Linked DNA regions of Alligator mississippiensis. The protein of the gene in region 2 purifies or fractionates together with the protein of the main gene of each other region. This does not show direct contact. Links are inferred from orthologs where the notes say so. Each region holds a gene or a part of one and is shown on either strand. Other genes may lie near its edges. The genes, in order: SRSF6, RRP1B and LYAR.

The links.
Region 1: the proteins of RRP1B (region 2) and SRSF6 purify together in Homo sapiens (affinity purification with mass spectrometry; 3 studies listed by BioGRID and IntAct, with this or other methods). This does not show direct contact. The link is inferred for Alligator mississippiensis from reciprocal best matches to the Homo sapiens genes RRP1B and SRSF6.
Region 3: the proteins of RRP1B (region 2) and LYAR purify together in Homo sapiens (co-immunoprecipitation; 3 studies listed by IntAct, with this or other methods). This does not show direct contact. The link is inferred for Alligator mississippiensis from reciprocal best matches to the Homo sapiens genes RRP1B and LYAR.

What each region holds. Positions count from the first base shown.
Region 1 is NC_081832.1:22,595,415-22,605,604, forward strand, and holds the start of SRSF6 (serine/arginine-rich splicing factor 6), read right to left. Parts: upstream 4,636-10,190; 5' UTR 4,541-4,635; coding exon 4,434-4,540; intron 4,176-4,433; coding exon 4,027-4,175; intron 2,709-4,026; coding exon 2,593-2,708; intron 2,385-2,592; coding exon 2,176-2,384; intron 1,791-2,175; coding exon 1,701-1,790; intron 1,565-1,700; coding exon 1,201-1,564; 3' UTR 1-1,200. UniProt on the Homo sapiens protein: Plays a role in constitutive splicing and modulates the selection of alternative splice sites. Plays a role in the alternative splicing of MAPT/Tau exon 10. Binds to alternative exons of TNC pre-mRNA and promotes the expression of alternatively spliced TNC.
Region 2 is NC_081824.1:300,606,903-300,616,740, forward strand, and holds the start of RRP1B (ribosomal RNA processing protein 1 homolog B), read left to right. Parts: upstream 1-5,408; 5' UTR 5,409-5,474; coding exon 5,475-5,613; intron 5,614-9,600; coding exon 9,601-9,683; intron 9,684-9,838. UniProt on the Homo sapiens protein: Positively regulates DNA damage-induced apoptosis by acting as a transcriptional coactivator of proapoptotic target genes of the transcriptional activator E2F1.
Region 3 is NC_081825.1:28,823,842-28,833,639, reverse strand, and holds the start of LYAR (cell growth-regulating nucleolar protein), read right to left. Parts: upstream 4,259-9,798; 5' UTR 4,159-4,258; intron 2,168-4,158; 5' UTR 2,114-2,167; coding exon 1,992-2,113; intron 1-1,991. Other genes in the region: ZBTB49 (zinc finger and BTB domain-containing protein 49), read left to right, coding at 5,248-5,250, 5,591-5,763. UniProt on the Homo sapiens protein: Plays a role in the maintenance of the appropriate processing of 47S/45S pre-rRNA to 32S/30S pre-rRNAs and their subsequent processing to produce 18S and 28S rRNAs. Also acts at the level of transcription regulation.

The DNA.
Region 1 (10,190 bases), on a different chromosome or scaffold from region 2:
CAAGGCAGTTCTAATGTTCAGTATTGCATGTTACCAAAAAAAAAAAAAAAAAATTAAAAAAAAAAAAATCAATTTAACTATAAATGGGACTTTTGAGATGAAATCTACTTCACAATTTGTAAGTGAATTGGCAACTCTGGTTTAGCAAAGTCTCCTGTTAAGACTAGAACTCTAGCTCCAATGTATTTAGAGATCCCTATAAGGTTTAAAATTCACACACAATAGGACTGTGGCTCTTATTTTGATGCAAAGTGGGTGGTAACTCGAGGGGGGGGGGGGTGTGTGCAGGAAAGAGAGTTTAAAAGTTACTTATTTTCACATACCCAATAGATAAACATTTAGAGTTCAGCAAGCCATACAAAACACTAGTGACTTGGACCACATCCAAAAGACACAAACGTGTCAGAGTTGGAACATCACCTGGAATCCAAGCAAAGTAGAGTCACAACACTTCCATTCTTTGAACTTTGATACCTAGGATTTTAGGCAATACTGCATCATGCAAGGCTACAGAGTAGTACCTTTATTAGCTTTTAATACAGTCAGAGTAGTTGGGGAAGGGGAAAGGAAGAGGAGAGACATGAAGCTTACTTTTGGCGAGTTAAGATACAGCACAAGTGCTTCCAACTTGAGTTTATTGCTGGTCTGAAATTTGCCTAGTTATTATATATTAACTGTATGTACAGTTCCCACTTTGCTTCCACAAACTGAAATAGCCAAGGCATCTACACTGACCAGTTCAACAATGCTTTTGTGTCTTTGATAGCAAGACGTAACCTTTTATACTACTAAGGCCCGTAATTTTAAGAGTGAAAAATTAGGAAAAAAAAAAAATGACGTTCTCAAAAAAGCCTGAATTTAAGCGTCTTATGCTTAAGAGTTTATTTTAATATAAAACCCACTTTCCTCTTAACAGCAGTCAAATTATTTCTGCTGAAATGCTAAAAATCAAAAGTTTAACTTTATTTTTCTAGAAAAAGGGGACTCTCTTCCTGCTCTTACCACCATTTCCACACCACCTCATCTTTTCACCAAATTTAGATACAAATCAAACCTTTATGCCTCATTACTTGGTTCTCAGGCCATTCCTTTCTGCAAAAGAAGGAACCAACTTCTGAAGGACTAACATAAAAGACTAATGGCCTGGCAAGTAGGAAAATGTTCCATAATAGTGTGCAAAGTAAGAGGAGAGTTCTAGTCTTAATCTCTTGAACTAGATCTTGATCGTGAGCGAGACTTTGAATGAGATCTGGAGTGGGACCTTGATGCAGCTCTTTTGGATGGTGACTCTGAACGAGCCTTGACAGAGGCTTGCTGCTGTGGCGAGTTGGAACGAGACCTACTCCTTGATCTGGATTTAGACTTAGCATCTCCTTTACCATTTTCTTTGGGAGAGCGAGACATGGACCTAGACCTGCTGCGAGACTTCTCAGATTTTGCCTTGGATCTGCTGCGGGAGCGGGAACCCCGGTCAGACTTAGGTTTAGATTTGCTCTTTGATCTTGACTTCCTGCTTTTAGATCTGGAACGCGAACGATCTTTGCTCCGTGACCTGGATTTAGATCTTGAAGAGAACAAAATATTTGATAGGAACTGAAAAAAATTACTCATGTCAGTTTTACATACAGTCACACTTACCAAGGAAGGGTCACAATTTCTAATTTAACAGAAATAGCCAATAAATAATGTACGTTACTCACCGTGACCGGCTTTTAGAGACACTACGGGATCGGCTGCGGCTACTCCTGCTCCTGCGACTCCTGCTTCGCGACCTTCTTCTAGAGCGTGACCTGACAATGTTTCAAAGTGCCCTTGTGAAACTCTAAACATCCACAGATGTTTACAACAATTTCTTGGGCTGGGACAGGGAGACGCACACAAAGGCAGGCAAGTCACAGATCAACCTACAGTAAGAATACCATCTGACACTGAACTACTTATGATGTTTCAGAAGGTAAACTGTCTTTCCTGAAATACACCTGATCACTTACGTAATGTTTTATCATAGAAAGCTATTCCCCTCCACATCCTAACAATCATCTTATCTGCAAGATGTAATCTAATTAAAAGGAAATGATTACTCTCTCAAGTTTAGACTAAATATAATAGACTCTTCTCCTACTGCTAGCAGGAGACTTTTGCTATAAAGATCAATCAAATATTTCAAAAGGTTACCTTGACCGGCTGCCAGAGTAAGATCGCCTATGGCTTGAACGTGGCTTGTCCTCAACCAGCCTTATCTTCCTGCCATTTATCTCTGTGCCATCCAATTTGTCCAGGGCACGCTTCATATCTGAGTAAGATCGAAATTCTATTACCCCTTCATTTGTGCGTTCTTTATGAGCATCTGCATAGGTTACTTCACCAGCTTGCCTCATGAAATCCTTCAGAGAACAGATGAAGAGTTACATAAGCATTTCATGCTTCTGGAATGTAACATGCCTAAACAAAGGTAAAAAACTCACCAAGAGTGTCAACAGACACGAATGAATAAGTTCCAAATGACTTTCCCAAATCATGAATATTCACAATAAAATGGAAGTATTGTGACCAAGCAGGAAGCTAGACTAACATTGTCACATTAGTACGTACTTTCAAATCCTGCCAACTACAGCGACTGGAAAGGTTTTCAACAATCAGTCTGTATTCTGTACGCACAGGTGGTCCATATTTATCTCTTCCCGATTGTCTGCGACTGCTATATCCACCTTTATTGTGCAAAGAAAACAAGTCAGACTCTCTCATAGTGTGAAGAAAACAAAAAGTTCTGAAAAAGTTAGTTAAATACAGATTACATTTACTGGAGTAGGACTTTATCTTTCTAAGCCTCCAACAAAGTTGCAATTTTGCCATAATCTATATTAATGGCAAATCAAAGAGACTAAAATCCTACAAGTCTGTGCTCCTAAGATCTGTTAGAGAGTGACTGCTCCTTTATTAGATTTACCTTGCTAAGTTTTATTTTACAGAACATTGTAAAATATAAAACTTAACTGATTACATGCATTTCTACATTTTACAAAAACGTTACTAATTACACTAAGTACTTACATCACAGTATGAGGTTTTTGGTGGTGGTTTGGCCACAAAACACGCAAGGTTAACAGTCACCTAGTTCAGTTTAACCAGTTTTGTCTAACCCTTGGAATCCTCACCATCACCCTGCGTCTAATGGCAAAAGGCTGCTGTCGTCATGGCTTCCGGTAAGGTCAGCCAAAGGGTCATAGGGCAAGGGTCACACAATGTATGGAAAAGCCATGGCCAATCAGGAAAGGCAGTCATCTTAGCCTCAGTGGACACAGCCTCAGCCCCACTGGTCACTTTTAAATTGAAACATCAAGGACTTGTTAAAAAGTTTGAATTGAACATGCAACAAGTTTAAAACACAACATACATTTGAATTTGCAAAACACTTGTAATACAAAGATCCCCGCCCACCCAGCAATGAGCCTCTCAGATTTTTCTGAGACAAGGCTTCGTGCTTTTAAAGCACAGCACCAGGCCAATTCAACTCCACTCAGCTCATCAACTTAAAACGAGCTCAGGGTACAAAAAGCCTTCGCAAGCCGCTTCTCCCCCTCACTGCAAGCTCACGTGCCTCAGCAAGCCCCTCCCCCTGGCTACGTTCTGCGTAATCAGCAGAAACATCCCGTAAGTCTGCTTCCAGTGACCCCCAGGACTTCACCCCCACCCTCCATCAGGGATGCACCATCACCCCTGCCACCAAAGGGTCCCAAGTCAGTACAATAAGGGAGAGGTGCTGTTGACAAGCATCCTCCTTAAGGAGGCCTTGTCAGCTTGGCAAATCCCGCCCCCCTCCCTACCGTTAGAAGACACCCACAGTGCACCACTTGGTGTGAAGCCCCACTACAGCCGCGCACTAGGGAGCCCCCAACAGCTCTGAGCCCCTCGCCCGGGGAGGCTCCCCCGCCCCCCGGGCCAGGCACGCAACCACCCCCCAGTCAGACCCGAGCAGGCGCCCGTGGCCCCCGCGCCTGAGCCGAGGGAAGCCGGAGCTGCACTCACTGCGGCTGCTGTAGCTGTATCCGTCGCGGTCCCGGCGGGGGCCTCGGGCGTGCTCCACGATCACCCGCTCCCCGCACAGGTCCTTGCCGTTCAGCTCGTAAACGGCATCGTCCGCGTCGCGCGAGTCCTCGAACTCCACGAAGCCGTACCTGGGGGGCAGCGCCGTCAGCCCGGCCTCACATCGCATCGCATCGCATCGCCCCGCCCGGCCCGGCCCCGGCGGGGACAAAGGCAGCGACTGCCACGGCACCCCCTCCCGCCCCGTCGCCGCCATTTTGAAGCGGGCGCCACGCGGCAGACGCCAGCCCCGCTCGGGCCGCGGCCGCGCAGCAGGGCCAGGCACGGGCCGAGGCGGGCGGAAGGGCCACCCCGCGCCGCCCCCGCAGTAGGCCGCGGCGCCGCCTCACCCGTTTTTGAGATCGACCTCGAGCAGGCGGCCGTAGCCGCTGAAGAAGCGCTGGATGTCCTTCTCCCGCACGTGGTAGCTGAGGCGCCCGATGTAGACACGCGGCATGGCTGCGAGCGGGGCCGGGGACCGCCGGGAGGTCGGTGCTGCCAGGCCGCGCTCGCCGCCTGCGGCCTGCTCCGCACCACAATGGCGCCGGTCGCCCGCGCAGGCCTTTATACCGGGGGGCGGGGCATGTGACGTCACCGCGGAGAACGTGAGCGGCGGCATGACGCTTCCAGGGGCGGCTGGGACGGAGGAAGAAGCGCTCTCTGTGCAGGCGTGACGGCGCATACCTAGTAGCACGACGAGCGCTGTTGCGCCAGCGCAGGGCTCTCCACGCGTTCCCACAGCTCCTTTTGCGCCTGCGCAGGGCAGACCCGGCTGGGAGAGGGCGGGAAGGGCACTGAGCGCAAGCTCCAGTGTCCGTCGCGCCCGGCCACCTGTGCTGGAAGATGAACGGCGGATGCCTGGGGGCACGGGCATGCAGCGCGCAGGCGCTTTAGAGAGGGAAACGTCCCTAGTCTGCTCGGGGACTGCAACCAGCACAGCTGTGGCTGCTGCCCCCATGCATGATACGTGACCAGATTCCAGGTGGGGTTCGCCTCCATTTGAAGCAACATAGCGTAGCCCTCCTGCTAGGATGTCAACCTGCCTGAGTGAGCACTATTATCTCATCCTAAAAAATGCCATTGCTCCTTTTGCAAAGATGTCCATGACCCCGGATAAACAATTCCTGGGCATCCTTCCTGCGATGGAGTTTTAATTCTGTAGTTGCCCAAATAAAACATTTTTAAATAGTTGCCCAAATAAAACATTTTTAAAAATAGCCCTTGTTGGTGGCTCCGGCCACTCTGCTTCCACGCTTCAAAAATTCCATCGAGAAACTGAGATGCTGCCTTTTCTCCAGCAGCATTTTAAGCATTAGAACCACTTTTTTCCTCCTACTCTGAGATTTACCAGCTCTGTCCCTATGAAGAGTAAACCCAGATGCTACTAATGCTCCATTATGATCTCCTGGGACTGTTAGCACCACTAATATAACCCGCCAGAGACTCCAACAATTGCCTTCAAGTTTTCATGACGTTACTCAGCTCTCAGTTAATGTATAACAAGCCAGTTGCTCAGTTTGTTTCAGAGAAATGGAAATCTCTGGGACTAAATTTTTATTTTTATAAACTGTTCCTTCCTCACTTAGTGCATGATTTAAAAGTCTCAGATGATTTTAGCAATTGTCTCAACATGTTTCTCTCTCAATGGAAAAACCTGTACATATGAAGATTTGAAGGTGGTATTTTTTTAATACTATGTCACTCAGAAACACTTTGATATACAGGATAATTTAGTTCCCAGCCTGAGAAGGGTGTGTCTGAGTTTCTCAGCAGCTGCTGCTGAGAAACTCAGAAAGATATACTTCAGTCTGTCATCCTTTAGGTCGTTGAAATTTAATAACTCATAAAGTCACTAGATCAACCTTAAACTGCACACACATTGAAATATATAGCAATATAACACTCCACAGCCCTCCTCAAAGTCACGGGTGCAGTAGTCTACATAATATTGTAGAAGCGGCTCTCAGAATAATTTCCTGTTCAGCAGCAAATATATTGGCACAAAGTTGCTGCCCAGGAAACAGCTCTTTGAGAATTTGTTGCTCTGCATCTACATACCATCCTTGGAGCAAGTGATTTACCCAAGTGCTTAGAGAAAACCAATTTTGAGGCAATGGAAAAAGGACAGGACAATACTATTCCCTGGCACTGCTGCTCCCTGTAGCGGTTAATAAGTGCCATTGCAACAGGTGGCCCTAATAGTTTTCCTGGCATGTTTTTGTAAGTGAACTGTACCACAGCAGCCTCTGAGCCTGGGAGGCATAATCATAGAATGCGAGAACTTTAGGGTTAGAAGGGATCTCAGGAGGTCATCTAGTCCAACCGCCTGCTCAAAGCGGGACCATCCCCAACTAGATCATCCCAGCCAAGGCTTTGCCTAACCAGGTCATAAAAACTTCCAAGGACAGAGATTCCACAACCTCTGGGGAATCTTTTCCAGTGTTTTACCAACCTCCTAGTGAGAAAGTTTTTCCTAATATCTAACCTAAACTTCACTTGCTGCAACTTGAGACCATTATTCCTTGTTCTGCCATCTGCCACCACTGAGAACAGCTCAGTGATGGGGGACGGGGTCCCCTGCAGCCAATCTCATTGACCGGGGGGGGAGGGGAGTCACGCTGTGGCCAATCTTGCCAACCAGAGGGTCCCCCCATGGTCAATCTCACTCACCGGCTTCTGGAAGTGGCTTTGGCAATTCCAGAAGTGGCCACAGCGCTCCCACTCCCCAGCCAGCGCTTGCAGTGGGGGCACCGGTGCTTCTGCTGCCCCCCCCGCCCTTCGCCTAAGCGGGGAGCGCTGCCTGTCAGGGGGTGCACCCGCACTCTCAGGGGGTGCACATACACCCTGTGCACCCCCTACACATCGCCACTGAGGCAGAGTACTCTAGATGTGGCCACAGCAGTGCCAAATAGAGGAGAATAATCACTTCCCTCCATCTGCTGTCAACACTCCTACTAATGCAGCCCAGTATGCCGTTAGCTTTCTTCGCCACAAGCGCACACTGTTGGCTCATATTCAGCTTATAGTCCACTGTAACCCCCAAGGTCTTTTTCTGCAGACCTGCTGCTAGGCCAGTGAGTCTCCAGCCTTTACTGGTGCATGTGATTACTCCATCCTAAGTGCAGGACTTTGCACTTCTCCTTATTGCATTTCATAATATTTCTTTTGGTCCAATCCTCCAACTTGTCCAGGTCTCTCTGAATCCTAGCTGTACCCTCTGGTGTATCCACTGTTCCCTGCAACTTGGTGTCATCTGCAAACTTTGCGACGGTGCACTCCATCCCATCTACCAGATTGCTAATGAAGATATGCAATAAAACCAGTCCTAAGACTGACCCCTGGGGCACTCTGCCGGCTGCCAGCTTGACATTGAGCCATTGATCACTACCCATTGAGCCCAACGATTCAGCCAGCTTTCTATCAATATTACAGTCCATTCATCCAACCTGTACTTCCTTAGCATGCTTGAATGTTGTAGGAGACCATATCAAAAGTCTTGCTAAAGTGAAGGTATATCACATCCACTACTCTTCTTAGAAGACAATTAGGTTGGTCAGGCATGATTTGCCCTTGGTGAATCCATGCTGTCTGTGCCTAATCACCTTCTTCTTCTCCAAGGGCTTAGAAATACATTCCTTGAGAACCTGCTCCATGATTTTTCCTGGGACTGAGGTGAGGCTGACCAGTCTGTAGTTCCCCGGACCTTCCTTCTTTCCTTTCTTAAAGATGGGCACTATAGCTGCCCTTTTACAATCATCTGGAACCTCTCCTAGTCACTGCAAGTTTTCGAAGATAATGGCCACCAGTGCTGCAATCACATCAGCCAACTCCTTCACCACCCTTGGGTGCATTGCGTCTTGCCCCACGGACTTGTACACATCCAGCTTTTTTAAATAGTCCATAACCTGTTCTTTCGCCACTGTTCACTATTCACCTCCTCCCCAAACTGTGCTGCCCACTGCAGTAGTCTGGATGCTGACTGAGGAGAAAAAGGCATTGAGTACTTCAGCTTTTTCCACACCATCTGTCACAAGGATGCTTCCCCCATTCAGTAAGAGAATCTTGCTTCCCCTGATGTTTCTCTTGTTGCTGACATACTTGCTGAAACTCTTCTCATTTCCCTTCACAACCCTTGCTAGCTGGAATTCCAATTGTGCTTTGGCCTTCCTGATTTCATCCCTGCATGCCCAAGCAATGCTCTTATACTTCTTCTTAGTTGTTTGTCCAAGTTTCCACTTCCTGTAAGCTTCCTTTTCATGTTTTAGCTCACTGAAGAGTTCCCTGCTAAGTAAAGCTGGTCTTCTGCCATACTTGCTAGTCTTCCTGCACATTGGGATGGTTTATTCCTGCACCCTATGTTTCTTTGAAGTAAAGCCAGGTCTTCTGGACTCCTCTCCTGCTCAGACTGGCCTCCCAGGGATCATGTCCATCAGTTCCCTGAGGGAGTCAAAGTCTGCTTTTCCGAATTCCAGGGTTCGCACTCTCTCCTTCCTTCCTTCCTTTCCTCAGGATCCTGAATTCAATCATCTCGTGGTGGCTGCTGCCCAAGTTGCCATCTACTATTGCATTTCCCACTAATTCTTCCCTGTTTGTAAGCAGCAGGTCAAGAACACAGCCCCTAGTTGACTGCTCCAGCACTTGCATCAGGAAGTTGTACCCAACACTCTCCAACAACCTAGATTGCCTGTGAACTGCTGTATTGCCCTACCACATGAAAACCAGGGCCTGTGATCAGGAAACTTGCACTAGCTGTTAGAAGAAAGCCTCATCCACCTCATCCTCCTGGTCTGGTGGTCTATAGCAGAAATGCCTGACCCCTGGCAGGAAAGGTGATGTCACTACATCACCATCCCTTGTTGCTCCCCCCTCTGACCCTAACCCAGAGGCTTTCAACAGGCCTATCTCCAGTTTCATACTAGAGCTCTGAGCAATGAAACAGCTCTTTTATATATTGCACAACTCCTCCTTTTCTCCCCTGCCTGCCCTTCCTGAACAGTTCGTACCCATCCATGACACTACTCCAGTCATGCGAGCTATCCCACCAAGTCTTTGTTATTCCTGTAATCTGGGTGGTACTTAGACAAGGTACCCCCTCTCCAGTTGATGGGATTTTAATGAGTGCTAGTACGCTGTGGGAGGGGTAGCCACTTCCCTCCTATCTGCTATAGAGTAGTGCCAAGACCAGTTGGAACTTAACCATATACGGGTTTAATAGGGAAAGAACCAGGTTAAGATATGACACACATGTGGGAAGGGCAATGGGTGTAGGAGAGCAAGAGGAGATTGCCCAGTAAAGATAATGTACACATATACAGAGGAAAATCAACAAGTTTGGGGTGCAAGTCTTCACAAAATATAAGGTACAGGCACCCCAGAAAGGCAGGGGGGAAGGTGAGGAAAACCTTTCTACCCACTGGTAAGTCCCTCTCCCTAACAAATCACCCTTTCCATGCCTTAGCCAGGGATCAAACCCAAGTCTACCACAGAGCAGACAAGAACTCTGTCACCAAGCTATCAATGCCTGTGCTGCTGCCTACAGGTCTAGGCTCTCAACCCTTCAGGATCCTCCACATGCTGTCTGCATGCCAAGCTACCCGGCCTCACACTGGAGGTCGGAAAACCTGAGCTGCTGCCTGCAGGCTTGGGGCTTTGGCTCCCACGCCACTCCCTGCCTGCACACCGAGCTCCTGGCCTCCCTGCCGGGGGTCAGATTCCTGAGCCACTGCCTGTGGCTTGGGTCCTTAGCAGGGGATCCACCATGCACCACTTGTGTGCTGAGCAGCAGGAGCTCTGAGCTGCTGCCGCCTGCAGCTCCAATCCTTAGTCAAGCCACCTCCTGCAGCTCCCAGGCTCTGGGGCAACCGATCCACCCTGCTGGCCAGCTCCTGCCAGCTCTTCTGGACTTCTCTCCTTTGTCCCTCGTTGTCCTCTCTCCCACCTTCCCCCCCAGCCAGGGCTAGGTGCGCTGCCCCTTTTATCCCCATGCAGGTGGCTGGTGGGACCTATCAGGTGACACAAGAGGTGAGCCTCCTCTCAGGTCCGGTTTCCCTACCTGACCCCTGGGTGAGGGGGGCAAGTCTTCTGCTTTTCCAGGGCCTGATTGGTGG
Region 2 (9,838 bases):
TGGTACTCCAAGTGAGGCCTCATCAGTGCTAAATAGCCTTGCTACAGTCACCATGCCCACTGCTCTCCCCTCATTCACAGATCCTGTCACTGTATCATAGAAAGAAATCAGATTGGTCAGGCATGACTCGCTCTTGGTGAATCCATGCTGATGGTTCTTGACCACCTTGTTCTTCTTTAGGCATCTTACAGTAGATTCCTTGAGGACCTGCTTCACGAATTTTCCAGGTATTGAGTTCAGGCTGATAGCTATAGTTCCCCAGATCCTCCTCCTTCCCTTTTTGAAAAATTGGCACTATACTTGCCTCTTTCCAGTCATCTGGGACCTCACCCAACCTTCACAAGTTTTCAAGGAAAATAGCCATTGGCTCTCAAATTACCTTAGCCAATGCCTTCAGTAACCTCAGGTGCATCCCATCCTGGCCCTGCCAACTTGAAAGCATCTAGCTTCTGTAAATAATCCCTAGTCTGTTTTGCCATTACTATAGGCTGGTTGTCTCCTTCCCTATCTCTGCTGCCAACTGCACTTGTCATCTGGTAGCTGCCCCTATGTATGAAAAATGAAGTAAAATACATTAAATACTTGGCCTTCTCCACATTGACTGTGACTAGATTGCCTTCTGCATTCTTTAAGGGAGATATAGAATCTCTGGTCTTCCTTTTACTTTTGACGTGCCTGTAGAATACTTTTCTATTGCCTTTTATGTCCCTTGCCTGCTGCATCTCGAATTGTGCCTTGGCCTTCCTAATTTTCACCCTGCATGCCCATGCAATACTCTCTTAGTCTTCCCTAATAATATGGCCGAGTTTCCACTTTTAATAGAATTCCTTTTTGAATTTCAGCTCCTTGAAGAGCTCTCTGTCTAGCCAGGCTGGTTTCTTCTTACACTTCCCATTCTTCTGTCACATTGGGATTGCTTGCTCCTACAACCTTAAAAAAGCCTTAACGAAGTGTAGCCAGCTCTTCTGGACTCCTTTTGCCCTCAGGCTCATCTCCCAAGATATCCTGCTGACCAAGTCCCTGAGTTTCCCTTGGCCAGGGTCAATTCTGAGCAGACAAATATGCAATATTGGCCTCCCATCATGCCAAAATACCCACATTAATTTCTACAAAATGCTTTGAATATTTACATTTCCTTATTCATAGACTCTTATATAAGTGCATGCTATAATATCTGGAACTAGAAAAAGAAAGAAAGGAAAAATTATAGTTTTATCTGCTATTCAAAAGTAAAATGGAGAACAAATTAGGTGGTCCCACTGTTTTTGTAAGTTTTAGTCTTTATTATGATGGACATTATGAACTGCATCTTTTGGATTTTATAGTCTGAATATCTCGTTAGACATTCTTAAAATAGAAAAATATATCAAGACAGGCTCTTCTTATTGTAACATTGTAATCCTATATGAAAATCCCACTTTGCCCCCAGGCAGTGATTTAAACTAAAATAAAACAAAACTTAGAAGCAAAACCAAAAAATATAGTTTCCAGATAGGACAGATGAGGTTATGGTTAAGAAAATGCACAGAAGCTTAGAAAATCTAGGTTCAGCTTTATGGGACTTCTAGCTAAAGCCAGGCTCTGACCCTGTAAAGTATGCTTTGTGAGTGAAGAGTGCTAGGTGGGAGGCAAAGGCTTCCACCAGCATGGATCCATATACTTCTTGATTTCTAACATCCTTATTTGAAATGAGAATAATAATATTTCTGCATGTCCAAGGATGTTGGCAATGCTGGTCAGAGTTGGTCACAGAGATGGTGACAACTGTGTTCCTGTTAGTATTAAGATGTATATCCTATTGCAAAAGGGAACCCCTGCCCCTGTTACCAGGAGAGGTTGAATAGGTAAACGGCCAGGGATCAGGCAGCTAATAAGGCAATTAGCTGCACTTGGCACTAGAGATAGACGAACAAAAGGGACAATCAGGAAGTGAGCTGGGTTGAAGATGAGGAATATAAACCAGTCCCTGAGTTGAAAAGGTTGATTTGGGCCTGTAGGCAGCAAGGTGAAGTGGTCCTGTGTAAGGTGGGCTGATTGGTGTCTAAGCAGTCCCAGAGAGCTGTGAAGAAGAGGCCAAGGGGAATTAGCAGCTTGCAGGGAAGTATTAACCTAGAGTTGGGAGGGGTTTTTGTTTCACAGCTTTTGGGCTGATGTTTACATTTTGATTAGATCCAGTGGAGAACTGGATTATGGCTGTAAGGGGAGGAGGAGGCCATAGTTGGGGGTGCTTTAGGGTGCCTTCCTGCAATAAGCACCAGTGTTCAGGCCCTGAGACAGGGGCAGAGATGATTAAGGTGCAAGTGGATCCTAAGAAGGGGATTGTTATAGAGGGAGGACTGAACCTGGAGGCTGAGGCTTTGAACAGCATGCTCAGGTAGAGGGTGTAGCCACAGAGAAAGAGGGCTGAGTCTGTGACAGCTGAGACCCCAGCAAGTGCCCAGAACCTAAATGGGGTGCACCCCCCCTCTTTACTGAGAGAGGTCAGAAAGTCCCAGGTATAGCTGGTTGGGGTGGACAGATCAGCCTACCCCACAGAGTGATTACTGACCCTCAGGGATCCCCTCCCCAACAATAACAACCAACACTGAAGTCATGGCAGGTGAGCAATAGGAGGTGAACCAGGGTTGAGAAGGCAGCAGCAACTGGGGCAGACCCCTGTGAGTACTACATGTACCCCATCCAGAAAGTCTTGGGGTGACTTGCAAGAAATTACAAGCCACCAACAGCTAAGAAACAAGACTAAGCTCCCTAGAAAATAGAAAAACTTTAAAATTCTACCGCACCCCCCACATTCCTGCCTATTGCCCATAAAAGCAAATCCTTCAGGCAATCCCTACCATACTTCCCAACTCTTCCAAACCCCAGTCACATTTAGGTACAATAAAACACTTCCTGCTTTCCCCACTCCATTCCCATCCACTCTTAGTTCCCTTGCCTCACACCCAAGGAAGATCTCTCCATTCTCTCCCAGTGTCCCTTTCAAGTCTGCACCCCACTCTCATACAGGTCTGTGGTGCTCCCAAAAAACTCATCACTCTTTTTCCTCTCACCAATAAACACCTTTCACTCAAAAGAACTATAACAAGGAAGTAACTGAAAGACCTTCCATCCCAGGAAGACGTTGGGAAACATTGGACTTCACTAGATGACTTCTTGAGGTCCCTTCCAACACTCATTTTCTATGATTCAGTTTGCAAATTGGTAATACTCTTTTCACCCCTGAGGCAGGGTTTCAAGTGGTAAGGTGCGGGTGTTGAGTGAACTTGGCAAAGGGCGGGGGTCTTTTAAGCAAGCAAAAAGCATGGTGCAACCATGCATGGGCACTCTAGGCACGGCTGCTACATAAGAGCCCAGGTTTTCAGGGGAAATCATTGCACTGTGGCTGGTGCTTTGCTCCTAGATGCAGCCTGGGGAGGGTAGTAATGGCTGCCACCAGGCTCCTGAACCTCCAGCCTTGTCCTTCCGCCATGCTTTTCAGTGTTGCCAGGTCTTAAATTGAAATTACTGTATTGGAAGCTCAAAATTATCGTATTTGCTGAAAAACTATTGTACACTGAAAAACCTATGCACCAAGTATGCAAATAAGTCTTATTTACTTTATATTGCTTACTGTAACTCCAGTGAGCGAGAAGTGGGTCATCAAAGTTGAAGCATTTCTTGATTTCAAGGCAAGCCATCATAAGAAAGTGCTCATTGGCAGCAAACCCCAAAGTTGGTTAAGATTCCGAGAGTGACTTGAGTTTTTCATATGTTGTACCAATCAGCTGCCTCAAAAATGATCATGCATGTTGATGGCTTCTACTATTATGGATCATATAAGGTTGTATGATTGTATAGTGTACAAATGCCATAGTTTGAGTTTACTTTTACTCTTTGCTATTCATTCCATCTAGGAAGAGCGCATACCCACTGCAGCTGCTTCCTCAGCCTTGTAGTGAGCATGTTTGTTATTACCCTGAAATAGAATAGTTTTCTGATAGCATACTGTTAGGTTAACAATAATTTGGATTATTAAGAAGTATTAGCTTTGCAGCTGAATACAAGGCATGACCTGTGGCCTAGCAATGCCGCTGACCACAAGGCAGAATGATAGCTAAGCCTTTGCTTGTGTCAAGTAATCATTTTAACTGTGTTAAGCATTTTCTGAGTAAAATGCAGCAAGTGAATCTGTCTCTGTGTGCTGTAAAATCAGCTACAGCAAGGAACAAGATAAGACAAAGAAGCCATTGTTCTAAGTACAGTGATCCTGTCCTTAAGAAGTATCTACCACTGCAAGTTCTTGCTAACGTATCATAATGTTACTGTTACTTAACTTTTAGCTTTTAAAAAGTGCTAGTTCATCTTAATAGAAATATGCTGTTATAAAGATTTGTAAAGCACTGCCCAAGTATTGCTTTTGTTAACCCTGTAGTCTTGCCTTATTGTAAAAAGTATAAAAGATCGCCCCACCGTTTAGGGGGGGCCATTTTGCCTCTTTGCTGGCTTAATGGTCATTGCTCGAGCAAATATACTGCAGTAAAACTTTACCCGTGGTTGTCTGGTTTCTATGCAGCTAGACAATGAACCCCAGGGAGTTTTCTCCCACTGCAGCCTGACAAAGGGTGTTTGTACCTGAAAGCTTGCAAAGAAAATTTTTTCCAACTATTTGAGCTGGTCTAATGAAAGATATCAGGTTTACCCGAAGAACCCTGTCTGCCTATGTCCTTAGACCAACAACCTATACCCCTATAGTTTGAGTTTTGCCTGTGCTGCATCAATGAGCTGCCTTAAAAATGATTGTGCATTTTGAAGGCTTTTAATACTGTTGATTGTACAAGGATTAAAATAATTGTACACGTTGTAGTTTGGGTTTTGCCTATGTTGCATCAAGGAACTGTCTCAAAAATGATCATGCATTTTGAAGGTTTTTAGTATTGACAGTACAAAGATTAAAATTATTGTACAAATGCCATAGTTTGGGTTTTGCCTATGCTGCATCCAGGAGCTGCCTCAAAAATGATTGTGCGTTTGGAATGCTTTTCCTACTATTATCAGGTATCCAGGTTGTAGCCGTATTGGTCAAGAAGCAAAAGAAATCAGAACTCGTGGTAGAGGTGATATCTTTTGTTAGACCAACTAGATTTTTGCAAATTACAAAAAAAAAATTCTTACACTCAAAATTAAAGAAATTATTTTGCACAAATGTAGTTGGTCTAATAAAAGATATCACCTCCACCACGGGTTCTGATTCCTTTTCCTACTGTTGGTCGTACGAGGGTGGAAACGATTGTCCAATGATTACCTAAGGATCGTTCCCCTGGCAAGCCGGGCCCGAGTAGAACGCAGGCTGCCGGAACCGGCAACTTGTGCGACAGAGGGCGCTTGTGACGTCATCAGGCGGCGTTCGATGGAACGCGGCGGCGGCTCCATCCGGGGCGGTCGAGCAGCGGCAGCGGGCGTGGGGCGGAGCCGCGGGGCGTGGGGGAGCGGGCACCATGGCTCCCGCCGCCGCCGTGCCGCCGCCGCCCGAGATCCAGTTCGCGCAGAGACTGGCCGCCAACGAGAAGCGGGTCCGGGACCGCGCCGTGAAGAAGCTGCGGGGTTACATCAGCGTCAGGACCCAGAGCCCGGCGGGTGAGGGCGGGGGTAGACACGTGGTGGGGGAGGCGGGCACGTGGTGCTGGGTATCTGTGCCGGGCTGGGGTGGAGGGTGCTGTGGGCACCCTGGGTGTAAAGGCTGGGCATGGAGGAGTAAGCGGATGTGCCCTGAGAGCATCACCCGCAAGAAATGGGGGGGGCAGGGTATAGGAGACACGTGGGTCAGTGGGACCAGCTGCGATCTGCACGTGGGCTGTGGAACAGGAGGGCAAGGAGAGATGCTGCTGCAGCTCCTGCTGCTCAGGGGAGAGTTGGAAGTCTCTCCTGCTCTGGCCCAGACTTGGCTGAGTGGGCCTTTCTTGCTCCTGTTAAATTACCTTTCACTGAGGGAGGGACCTGGTTTTTTCCCTGCAATAGCTGGGCAAATGTGGAGGTGGTTGTTACCAGCTGCGAAGAGCAGTCTGTCTGCAATTTAACCATGTTTGTCTGGCATCAGGTATATCGGGGAACCATGGATATAGCATGTCTGCCTTCGTTGTATGGAACTAGACCAGTGCAAGTGTTCCCCTCAACCCCTTCTACCTCCTGTACACATACACTAGACCGTAGTACAACCATTTATCTGTCATACTTAACAATCTGTATGCCAGTGCTTCCCAAACTTTTCCTCAGCATGACCCCATTTGTGGCCCCATTTCCTCAGCATGGCCCCTCACTCCCAACCCACAGCCTCCCACCCCTACGACCCCATCTGCTGATGTTGCGACCCCATTTGGGGTCATGGCCCACAGTTCGGAAATTACTACTATATGTACTTTAACCAAAACGTTGCATGGTGCCTACAAGATTATCCATTGCCTCTAGTCTAAGATAGGCCTTTTGTTAATTACTTGAAGTCATTAAAGGTGAGTGATCCAGACCCCATCTAGCCACAGGGGCCTGCACATACAGTGGATGCTCCAAAATTGATGATAGTTTTTGAGAGATTATAGGTTTCAAGCCCAGTTTAAATACTAAGCAGGGAATAGTGCAAGAACCAGTAAGGTCTTTAGACCCAAAAGGAGGTTTATTTTCCTTCCTTTTTTGTATATAGAGTAGGCAGACTGTTTTATCATTGGAATTACAGTGAGGTTATAGTAGCACAAGTTCCTAATACAATGATGTAACTTGCCTTTAGTAACTCACTGGGGTAAACCACGGGTATAGCGCATTTGCCTTCATTGTCTGGAACTAGACCAATACAAGATTTTCCCCCAATCCTCTCCACCCCTCATGTACATACACCAGGCCATAGTTATGACCATTTATTTATCTTTTGTACTTAGCAGTTGGTATGCACTTTAACCAAAATGTTGCATAGTACCTACACGGTTATTAGTTTCCTGTTATCTAAGACAGGCCTGTTGTTATAGGATCCCTAACAGTGTGTATGTCCAGTTTGAGAACAAATCAAGTGAAAATATCTGCTGTAAGAAAAAGAGTATTAGATACTGATGACATTGCATGCAAAGTGTTGCCTTTATGAAATATTTTTTAGAAGGCTATGAAAGTTAGTGTCCTTTTATCTATGGAACAATTCCCCCTGACCCATTTAAAACATGACATCATCTGTAGTAGGCATTTTGGAGGCATCAATCATAATTCCAGAGTTGTGTTTACAGTCCAGCTTGCTTCCTGTTGCCACAGCTGCAGAAACTATTGATTCTGGTGCAGTTAATACTGGGGTGAAGCAGAGTAGAATGAGGCCCCGAGTATCTATTCCACCACTGACAATATCCATGAGATGGGAAAGCTTGTTTCAGGGAAGTTGCTGGAAACCTGAAACTGCTATGTTGAGATCCATGCACAGCCTAAAACAGGGTAACTTATTTAAACACCCACTTTCTAGTCTTGTATGTGTTTGAACTTCAGAAGATATGCTAGGCTAACAGGAATTGTCCTAAAGGCATGTTGGCTCGATAGTCGCATCTCATTTATAGTTGTTAGGATTAGTTAATATTTTCCAAGATTTAGAGAAGGCAGTGAAGGTACTTGCTCTTGCAGCTGTATACTAGCTAAAATGTAATTACCAGTATATAATAATAGTAAAAACAACCCCTCCAACAAACAAACCAAGCCTTCATCTTTTTCTCAAAACATGGTTCAGTAGTTAAACTGGATACAGCACGAACATATTGATCTGTAGCATGGTCCTCTTATTCTGGGGCTGACACTTCTTTGAGGGTGTACTGTGGCACAGTAGTGAGAGCAGGGAAAATGTGCTGCAAAAATACTACATAGTACCAGATCTGGCCCACAGGACAATATCATATAGCCTTCAGGGCTTTCCATGCATCCAGAAATTTGGTTGTGGGGGAGTGGTGGCAATTAACATTGTCATTACTCTTCCGCTGCCAAATTTCTAAGCACCACATGGCATGCATAGGTCCCAGCTGCACCAGCCCTATGCAACAGGATCGAGCCTACCGGCTGACCTAACACTGCTGATTCGGCCCACAGGACCAAAATATCAGGCATCATTATGTATGTCTTTCATATACTAGTACATATACATACACCTTTTTGGATGTAAGAGTGGAGTGCACCCTCAGTTTTAATCCAGAAGGAAAGTGTTCCTCAGGTATCAAAAGTTTGGGAAGCATAGATATACCAGTTTGAATGTTCTCTTCTTTCTTTTCTACATTAAAAATAGTACTGGGTGAGCAAGCAAAACATATTTTGATGTTTTACTTGGTGTACAGACTGATGCAGATTATTAGTTTGTAATACCAAGGTTATTACATGTATTATATGTTAGCATCACATGCTAGCGTTACATGTTTTAGCATCATAAGGATATTTTAAACCTCTTTCACCCTTCTACAATAGGTCTGATCACAGTTTTTATTGTCACTTTTAACAGATCCTAAAATATGTAAGTTTTCAAAGTGGGTTTACTAATACAGTAGAAGTTCTGTTATCTGGGATCTTACAAGCTGGCATGCTCCACTAACCGGCTTGGCAGCTTGTAAGATAAAGTGAAACCAGAAGTGCCCACGGTGGGCACTTCCAGTTTCTCTGAGGCCCCATGGCTTGGGGCAAAGCAGCTTGGTCTGCCCAGCCCCCACAGCCTGGGGGCATAACAAGCTGTGCAGGCCTGTGCGGGGCCCACCTCCCTGTCCTGCGTGGCCCGCTGGAGGGGCAGCGATGCCACAGGAGTGGCGGAGGGACGCCCCAGATGTGGTGGGAGAAGTGGCAGCTGGGGCCACTTTTTGTGCATATTTTTGTTAATATCCCCATTCGCAGGGGATGCCAGATAACAGAGCTTTTACTGTACTAGGACTTGAAGAAAAGTGACACGTTATAATTTGGAAACCCTTGAATTCTTATTACAACTGAAATAATTTTGAACAATTCAGATAGTATTAATAATGTACCTTAAGTTTAATTGTAATTACAATGCATTTGTTTTACTTAATTATGTGGCTTGACAACACAAGAAGAAGCATCTGCACTGATTATAAACAGGGACTCACGTTATCTTTATCTTACTGAAGGTATTTCTTGACCAGTGGTGAAGTGAAACTTCTGTTAAAAGCATTGCTCACCCACCTTTTTTCCCCAGGTTTGCAACCGGGCTTTCCCCACAGAATTAGATATGCTGTCATTCAAATTATTTTTTGGAATGGGTACTAGAAAGAAATGCCATAGGGAATTGCACCCTATTGGCAGGGGGATGAATCAGAATGACCAAACAGGCTTTTCTTGTGTGTGACTTCCTCTGATACTCTATGAGCCTTGTATCATAAAGTATATGGTACAGTAACAAGTCAGAAGCTTAAAGGTATGAGACCACTGCATTAACCAAAGTTTTCATAAACAGAGTAGCGGTGCTAACTTTGACTTCATTCAAAATTGGAATGTTTGCTCCAAAGGAAAGGACAATACTGAAAGAGGGAGGAATGAAAAATGAGAAATCTGTTTTTAAGCATTTGGTGGAAATGTAAGGGTTTTTGTGCATAATTTTTGGTTTTTACACTTTAGGTGGCTTCAGCCAAGAAGAACTCTTAAAAATATGGAAAGGGCTATTCTACTGTATGTGGATGCAAGATAAACCTCTGCTACAGGTATGGAAATCAGCTTTGTGTATATAAATAGACATCCTTCGAGAATGTGTGATGAGGGCACAACGCCTTTTCATTTTGTTCAGGGAAAAATAACATTATAAGGACATGTGCTTATGAAGGAAATGTGGTAAGCATGAGCAAGCGGGAAAATTAAT
Region 3 (9,798 bases), on a different chromosome or scaffold from region 2:
AAAAACAACCTTTTAACATAAAACCTGTATATAATATTCTGTCAATGAATCCAGCTTTTCAAACTCAACAGTATTTACAAAAACAGAGAAATAGAAGCCATGGAAAGCCAAACACTACAGTAAAAAATTAAAACCCAAATACCATTAACACAAGCATGTGTAACTCAGTATGTAAATGGTCCCACTAATGCCAATGGAACTACTCACATAAGTATGGTTCTACATGCTTAAATACATGCCTATTTTCACCATTCAAAGCACTTTCTTAGCTTCTAGCGAAGTTATCTGAAGAGAATACAGAGTCTCTAAACAATATAAACAAAGCTTTCTATACCATTCATAATTATATGTTGTATACAGTATATGTGGTATGCATATTTATTCTCAATAAAGCCTGCTAGAAAAGTGTTTGCATTTTTTATTCTTCTGCACATTTAAAAATTCTAAATATTTATAGAGTAGCATTCACAATAAAGATATGTTCTCAAGTTAGAATAATAGCTTAAGAATAATTACATATAAAAAAATTCTAAATTAGATTTTTTTAAACAAGGTTTGGTCTAGGTAGTCTCCTGATCAAGTTAAAATACTTAAAAGGGGGCTTGAAAATGTAAACCATTGGAGTGGTGAACTTACTGATATGGACCTACCATTATTCCACTTCCTTAGTCCCGTTGTTACTTTTATCTAATTTTTACTTTTAAAACTGGAAAGCAGACTGCAATGGCATTTTTTTCAGAGATCTGGATATTTACAAGAAGAGCTGTAACTTTGGAATTACAGGATTTCATAGCAATTCTCCAGTAACCACAGCATCCAACAGTTTGCCCCAATAAAAAGATATAAATACTAAAACTAATAAAGGAAAAGGAAAATCTAAAAATTACAACTGTTTCTCACCATACAGAGATAAAAGTTTTTGCCATCACTAGGGTAAACAAAAGAAAAAGACAGTAACAAAGTGAAGAGAGGGTTCCCTTGCCCAGAAGGAATGACTAGAATGTGTAGATACATGATATTAATGTGCCTGAATAAACTCTGGCGCAGTTTGCACTGGAGTCAGCTGCTCCCAGGCACAAAGTCTTCATGTGCACTGCAGCAATTAGAGCCAGGGCAGTCTCAGACATATGTGAAGATTCTGAGCCCGGGGACAGCTGACCTGGAGCAGGAGGTCTGGGGGTCAGCCCCAGGCTCTGGAGGGGCTGGACACTGTAGCACCTGCATGCCCCAGCCAGCCCTGGTCACAGTCTACACGTTTGAGTGCACGCAAGTACTCTGCCATAGTACAGTGGAACCCAGAGGTGGGCAAAATGTGGCCCGGGGGCTGGATGTGGCCCACCAGGCCATTTTATCCGGCCTGTGGGGCCCCTAAAAAAATTTAGAAAATTAATATTTATCTGCTCCTGGCTGCCTATCATGCAGCCCTTGGTGGTTTGCCAAAACTCAGTAAGCGGCCCTCTGTCCAAAATAATTGCCCGCCCCTGGCATAACCTCATAAATCTGGCATACTCAGGACTGAGCACCTGCCAGAAATTTGAAAATTCCATTTTTTTGAAACTGGAGTGGCGGTTGCTGCTCTGGCTTCAAAAAAATGGAAATTTCCGGCAGTTGCTGTACTTCTGTTGAGCAGTACTAGCCTATCACAGAATTAATTAGTTTTCTGTACCCTAATATAGGCACACGTGTAGACTGTGATGCTTTACTCAGGAGTTAGCGTAAATGTGCCCACTGTCACTAATCCACTCCAGCCTGTAAAAGGGGAAGGTGCTATTGTCTCTTTCAAGTTCCCAGCTTTGGATCCTCTTGCCCACAAATTGGTATCAATGATTGCTTGTGCTGTAACTCTTACCCTGCCCAAAGTACAGCATGCAATTAATGCTATATTTGCACTCAGGATGCTAAAGTAGAAGAGTAAAGAGTAAAGCTACCTAAAGCATCTCCTGCTGCTGCTACCAAGCAGGTATTGTCAAACAAATACTTCATTTACCTACCAGAAATCTTTGCCACAATCCATACAAGAAAGGCACTGACACCTTCTGCAAATATTTACATGTTTTTCAACTTGTCCTTTCTTCACAGATTCTCCACATGCATTGCATGTGAAGACTACCATTTTGGATCCAAATAGCTTCTTCTCAAAGGCAGTTACAGTAAAATCTTCAAAACGCTAGAGAAAAAATGTATCATCTGAATTATTTAGGAAAAATATTTTAAAAACCCACACAAATGTATTGTATATTGATTAACCTATCATTTTCAAACCTATGAAACATTTATTATGAGCAAGCATTGCCAGTTATTTGCTGCTCTACATAATTCTCATTTTTATTTCTAGTTTATTTCTAAGTGGGTACAAGACACCTTAATGTACAGTGGACCGGTCTACTGTGCATTAGTACCTCATGGCAAAAACCATGCTAATGCGCAGAACTCATCTACTGCGCATTAAGCATCATAAAAAAACATTCGTCTTTGCTACTGCACATTAGTGCAGCTACTATGCCTTTATCTAGTACCTCATATCAGAGGTATTAAACTTAACGCGCTGTAGCAACGGCATATTAACGAACATGTAGACATGTTCCAGTGATGTGATGTGAACTAACTCTAAAGACGTAGTTTCAAATAGAAAACTGCAACAAGCGTATAACCTTGAAGTTACCAATGATTCAGTTTTTGCTTCTCTCTATGCATCAAGGTGCCTATATCTGTATAGTCTCCCTTTATAACGTTTCTCAAATACGTCTTTCCTCTCCAAGGCTGAGTCTGCCTGTAATCTAGAGGAGTTACCTAGGTTAGCTCACTATCTACACACTGGTATCCCCAACTCTCCCTCTCCAGTCTTCCTTTTCTGCCAGTATTATCTCTTTCTGAACACATATCACTAGATCACTTTTCTGCATGAAAATCAAACTCTTTTTATTCAAATTTAAGGCTCTGTTCTCTGCTCGCTTGTTCATGCACTGTTCTTCACCTTCTCATTTTAATGTTTTCTTCCCCCTCACTCTTGCCCCCATGCCTTTTTCCCCATGCTCCCAATAGCTAGCACATCAGTCTTCCCAAAGGTCCTACATCCTCAGTCCAATTCAGCTCCCTCCTCCAGGACCCCTTTCTTCCACGTGTTCCCTGAAATTACTGTTAGCTCTGCCTGCTGCTGAACTAGTCCCTCCTGACAGCAACCAGACTTGCACGATGCATTACTTATCTGCGACTTGCTCCCATCCTGCTTTCCTTGCCTATACTGGTGGTTTAACGTTTCTGTGGTTTCGACCCAGAATGGTTTTGGGGGTAAAGAGCTGCGTCTTTTAACGAGATACCCAGGTCTGTGGAAAGTGTGTGTCTGCTACACAAATGCGCATCAAGTCACAATTAGAGGTGCAGACAGAAGTGACAATTTTCACCTGATCTGGCCACAAAAAGCAGTTCGTAGTTGTGACCAAACACAGGTGCACGGCTGCAAGACTGTGTGAAAATCTGACCCCTCATTGCACGAGGTATCAAGTAAAGATATTGCAAAATGTAGTGACTTTTGTAACTTGCCTCTGCACAGCTCCCAGCATATCCGTTTTCAGAATGGGAAAGGAAGCAGAGAGTTTGGTCCTGGGGGGTTTTAACCCTCCTCTGGAGGCTGGGTGAGGTGTATTGCAGCCCCCCTGAAGTGGAGGGGGCCGCAATTTACTCACCCCACCTTTCAGCACCAGCTGGGGGAGCTCACTCCTCTGCTTTTCCCCCTCCCGGTCTGAAAACATGGAGCAGGGTCATTGCAATGGGAACCCAGCTGCAGGCTCCCAGCCCCCAGCAGGACGCTCCTTCCTCCTGAAACCAACAGCAAACTTGTGTTTGGTCCAGTGTAACGCTGTAGCTCAGGAAGTTTTGCAGAAATCCTTCTGAGCTACAGCTGGGAGCTGCACGTCTGTCCGCACCTACAAAAACGACTGAGCTCAGACCTGGTCGGCAGCTGGAACAACCCAGCACGGGCCTGTCTCTACTGCTTCCCTCCAAGGCACGAGTCCGATCCGCCTCAAAACCCTGCCCTTCATTCCCACGTGCTGGGATGGGCCATGGACCACCTCCCGCGCGGGCCCATGCCAGGAGCGGCCGGGCGGGCAGGGCGAAAGCCGGGCAAGAGAGAGGCTGGGCCCGCGGCTCTCAGCGTACCTGCTCCCGGGTCCTGCGGCGCGAGCGGCCAATCGCGCACTCAGCGGCGCCGACACACGTGCGAAGCTCCGACGGCCGCTCTCAACTCCCGGCGCGCGCCAACGACTCCCCGCCGGGCGGAAGCGGAAGTGGAAGCGCCGGGGCCGGAAGTGCGCGGAGGGGCCGGGGCCGAGCCCGAGGCGGGGATGGGGTAGAGCGGCGGTTGGAGCCGGTGAGGCGGGAGGTGTTGCGTGGGGGGGAGCTCCCGGGGCCTCGGATTCCAATACCCGGGGCTGGGACTGCCGCAGCCCTGGGCCTGGCCGCTCGTGCCCCTCGGCCTGCGCTGGCTGCCTCCGCCCCGCGGCGCCGTCTCCCACGCTTCCCTAAGGAGCTGGAAACAGGCTTAGTAGCGTTGGGCGAAGGCGGGCCTGCCCCGCCCTGGCTGTAACCGCCGTGAGAGCGCAACGGCTGATGGCTTGGGACAAATCCGGTGGAAACGGGGTGTCTTGTTCCCCTAGGGCGAGAGGGGCAGGGCCGGGAGAGCTCGTGTCACAGCGTCGGGCCTCCGACACGTGGCACATAAGGGACCTGTCTCCCCGGGAAATGGCAGCGCTGTGCGATGCGGACAGATGTCCTTAGGAGTCACCTGAGTTTGGTTAATACAGGGTAGACCTGGGAACAATTTCTAGTGGTTGGGGAAAACCGCTTTGCTGGCACATTGGTTATGTGTAAACTTCGCAGTTTCTTTCCCAGTGGGAAGATCTTGGCTTTACCCCCCGCTTTATGGAAACAGGAGACTCCTTCCTAGCTTGCTCCTGTGGCCATGTGATGAAATTCGGGGGCATCCGAACCCCAAGTCTCTGGGCTTGGGCTTGTACGTAGGATGTCCACCAAATCTTTAGGAAACACCTGAATTCCCAGGTGGGGATGGAGGATGTTTTTTGCCAGCAGTAGGGCCACATATGGTTCTTGACCGCCTCATGAATTTGGAATTGATTTGGTTGATTTGGCTTGGGATATGAAAACTTTTTCTAAAAAAAGAAAGAGAAGCTCTTCTTGTGTTAAGTTAAGGCATCAAGACCTTTTTCAAAACGTGCCTCACTAAGATTCATGGTATGTCTTTCTGATAAAATCTAATTTGTATGCCTGTTCAAATCATGCGTGGTTACAATCCCATCTACTTTGTAGTATACCTTGGGCAGATGCTCACTGTTAGGAAATACTGATTTTTAATAAACATGTTGATGTCTGTAGTACGCTCTTAGTGACTAAAAATTCTCCTTAAGTTGCCTACATGTCATGCTAAATTATGAGGAGCTCTGTTGCACTGGGGAGAGAGAAACTAATCATTGCATTGCATTGCATTATACCTTTTAACCTATTTTTAAACTTGGTCTGCAGGAAGATGTAAGCTGCATTTCTCTTAAGTATTTTTTGTCTTGTTTTGTTGTAGGTAATTAAATGGTGCTCTAGCATGGATGCTGTTGCTAGCCATAGTTGTCATCTTCTCCAGCAGCTACATGAACAGCGTATTCAAGGGCTTCTGTGTGACTGCATGTTGGTGGTAAAAGGAGTCTGCTTCAAAGCACATAAAAACGTATTAGCTGCTTTCAGTCAGTATTTCAGGTACTCCAACCTTTACTGAAGCAATAAACAGGGTACCATAAGTTGATGTTTGAGGAAAGAATTTTTCTGCTGGCTACTAAATAGTAATGTTGATACCTTATCACAGTTTTAAGGGAAAAACTAGGGGGTCTTAGATTGCTTGCTTGCACCTAATCTGCATTTTGTATTTGCTTTAATTAAAATGTGCATCATTCCAATTTATTTTGTAGCTGATCATAATTAGGTGTTACCATGTTTTTTCATGTCCAGTGCATCCTGGCATATAATACAAACCTTGTTTTTGACAGGTAGAATGAAGAGAGAGAGATCTTTCCTTATAGTAGGTAACTGAATAGCAGTAGTTAGGGAGCTGAGCTTGTTCATTGTTCTGCTCCCTGTGCATTACAAATTTTACTTTGTTTCACTTGGTAAGGGGCAAAAACTGCTCTTACTATAGTTCCTTTGTCTAGGGCACACTCTGGTTTCTAGCAAGCATTTTTTTGGGGGAAAGTGCATTCTGTGTGCAGGAAATGATGGTAAAGTCTTTGAGTTGCAATCATGATTTTGGTGCTTACAGTGATTAGCATAATGAGGCTTGAGTCTCTGGCTTTGGTCTGCTGCCAGTACTGTACTGCAAGATAATGATAATGATGAGACTTCTTTTTAAAGTTCTGTGTGGGACACAGTAAGGGTGACCAGGCCAGATATGGGATTTAGTGGCTGAGGCCTCGTAAGATTATCCACTTTTGCTGTTTGTTAGTGTTAGAAAGAAAATTGATCTGGAAGCCACTTTTAAGTTTTTCAGAATTTATAGCCTAGATTTATACACTGAAATTTCTTAATCTGCAGGTCAGTTGATGCTTCCAGAACTTTTAAGTGAAATTAGAATGTGCAGTGAGCAGTAACTACATTTCAAGATAAGTTTCTAGAGGTGCACTGATGCATCAATCCAATAGGGGATTGGCACCGATATAAAGAAAATTTATCGTATCGGAAATTGGTCTGATGTGGCTAATAATTTGGGTGATAAATGCTTGTGTGTGTGTGCAGCTGTAACACAGCATGTAGGCAGCAAGGAGCACAGCCCAGCAGCTTGGAGAGCTGCATGCAGCTGGTAAATTTGGTGTGGTAGAAGGGGATGAGGGAGGGAAAGGGGTGGGGGCAGATCAAGGTCCCCGTGGTGAGGGAGCAGTGGGGTGGAGCAACTGCTGCCCAGCCAGGGTGGGTGCAAGATGGAGCCACGGCTTGTCCCAGGGGGGAGGGGATGCGGCTCCTGCTGCTGCGCACCGCTCATCTGGGAGCTGCCAGTCCAGTGCTAGTCGGGCATTTCCCACCACTTGTCGGGGGTGGGGGGACGACACACATGTGCCCCCAGATCTGCATGGGGCAGGATGGAGTAGGCTGGGGCTGGGGTTGCATGGGGCTATTCCTGGCCTGTCCCGTGCAAATGCGAGGGCACGACCCCAGCCCCCCATGCCTTCTCGGACGAGTGGTGGGAACTGCTGGACGAGCGGGTAAGTGCCAGACCAGTGGCTCCCGAACCAACAGCATACAGCGGTGGGAGGCCTCCCCCCATTGTGGCCCCAGGACAAGCTGCGGCTCCATCCCACACCTGTTTCACCCCAGCTGGGCAGTGCTTGTCCCAGCTCCAGCCCCACTCCTTCTTCGCTGCAGGGGCCTTGATTTGCCCCCCCACAACCCTTTCCTCTCCCTTTCCACCACACCAGAATTACCAGCTGCACGCAGTTCTCCAAGCTGCTGGGCTGATATTGAAAATCAGATCAGTATCTGCTGATGTGCCTCCTTAAAAATCGGCTGTTGGTATCGGCCCTAAAAATCTCTTATTGGTGTACTGCTGAAAGTTTCTTTACCTGCCATAATGATTGGGCTCTGTGTTTGCTCTTCTTCTCTTCTTGCATCATCTTCAAAATGAATATGACAAATTTACATAAAATAATAACTGGGAGAAGATAGATTTAATAAGTAAATAAGGGAAAGGAAAGCTGAGATCCAAATATTTTCTGTTGTTAGAGAAATGCTGTTATAAGCTCTGAGATTTTCAAAGTAGTTGAAAGGAGTTAGGCATCCATCCCATTTTGAAATGCAATGGGACTTAGATATCTGATTCCTTTAGCGGGTTTTCAAAAGACTAGCCCAAATAAATGAAAAATATTTGCAATAAACTTAGGCAGTGTGGATTAGTTAGGCAGTGTGGATTAGACCGAACAGGATTTAGGCACCATGGTACCTAACTTTATGGCTGCCTGGCCCCCAGACTATCCTAGAACCCTTAGTTAGGTGCTTGGTTTCTATACAGTGCACAAGGAGAGTTAATGCCTTTGCAGTCATCCAAAGAAACCCTGCAGTATCTGGGAGTTAGCCAGAGCTAGCAAATAGAAGACGTTTTGAATGGGCGCATTATGAAGCCTCTCCAGAGCTTAAGCACTTGTTAAGCGCTCCAGGTAGGTGCCTCCATCTGTTTGTAATTCAGAGTCCAGGACACTCTTCTGAGGGTAAACACAAATGTTTTTTCAAGGAACTGAAAAATATTTACTGTTTTGTTTTTAAAATGCAGTTGCTAGAGAAGAAAATGGTGATTGTATTGAAACCTTACAATGGTATCACTTAATGATTCAAACTCTTTCCAAGAAAGTGGAAAACTTAGGTTCAATACCTTCTTTAACTTAAGAGGGCTCCAACCCACATTTCCCATCTCCAGGAGACTGGCCTAACCCATGCTTTAAATCCAGTACTCCTACCTCCTATGACAGTGTCCTAACCAGCAGGGTACTGGAGAGAGGAGGCATAGGTTTAAACTACCTCACGACTGAAGGCGCTGAAGCCTGTTCTCTGCTTCCTGTGTGAGTATTATAACTACTAGGCCAGGGATGTCAAATTCATGAGGCCCTGTTGGCACACAGGACTGGTCTGACATGTGCCATGTGTGGCGTAGAAGTCCAGTTTAAGACCCATAGGCAACACTGTGGGCCAAACGACAGGTTTCTGTGCGCTGGATCCAGCCAGTGGGCTGTATCTTTGACACCTCTGTACTAGGCTACTTCACAGAACAGGCAGTATCAACTTTTATTTCTCCTTTGGCTGTGTTTTATAAGAAAGTGGTTACAACTGCATTTGATAAGGGACCATATTCTGCTGGTAGGTTTTCTTGAAGCATGCCAAACTAAACTGGATTCAAACAGAGGGAAGCCTAGTTCCTGAATCCCCATAGAGTTTAGATGGGAGGCTGCTCAGGCTGGGGCTATTTTGTACAGCCACAGAAGCAGAATGTTTATTGTCACTGGAGAGGTGTCCAGTGAGATTAGGAGCAGATAAGTGGGGATTTTTGAATCATAGTGCTTGATTTAAGCAGAACTGAGGCTCCTAAATTCTTTATGGGATCTAGTCTTATGCAATGAAATGATGCACAGCCTATAGATGTGGCCAGAACTTGAAAAAAAATTGTCAGGTAGACAAGGGAATGACCTAAGCAGGGTAAGTTTCAGTAAGGTTCATTGGGAGTGTGTGATGGAGAAGCTCAGTCAGTTCCTTTAAAGGGTAACATGCTAGCATTCTTAACAAAGTAGGCTCTGTTTGTCACTTTGTTTTGTAATAGTGTTATAGATCTGTAACCTACTTTGCTCACTCTCCCTGATTCGATTTGGCTGAATCTGAAGATTCGGCCATAGACACAGCTTTAAATGTTTTTCTACATACCTCGAGGTACCAGGCACGGCTTGTGAATGCTGCAGTGGTGGGGCAGATGGAGCATCCCACAGGAGTGCAGGGGGACCCCCTGCGTGCTTGGTGGCAAACCCAGGAGTGGACCGGAAGTATTTTTGGTCCACTTCTGGGTCTGCAGGGGGCCCCCATGTGCCCCCTAGCTTGGCGATTGGCCACGGGGGGACCCCAGGTATCCCCCCAGACCCAGGGAGCACCAGTTGCCAAGCTGGAGGGGGACTGGACGGGGACCCCCTGTGCGCTCCCTGGTGGACCTGGAAGTGGACCAGAAGTGCTTCTGGTCCACTTCTGGGTCTGCTGCTGAGCGCGCTGGGGAGC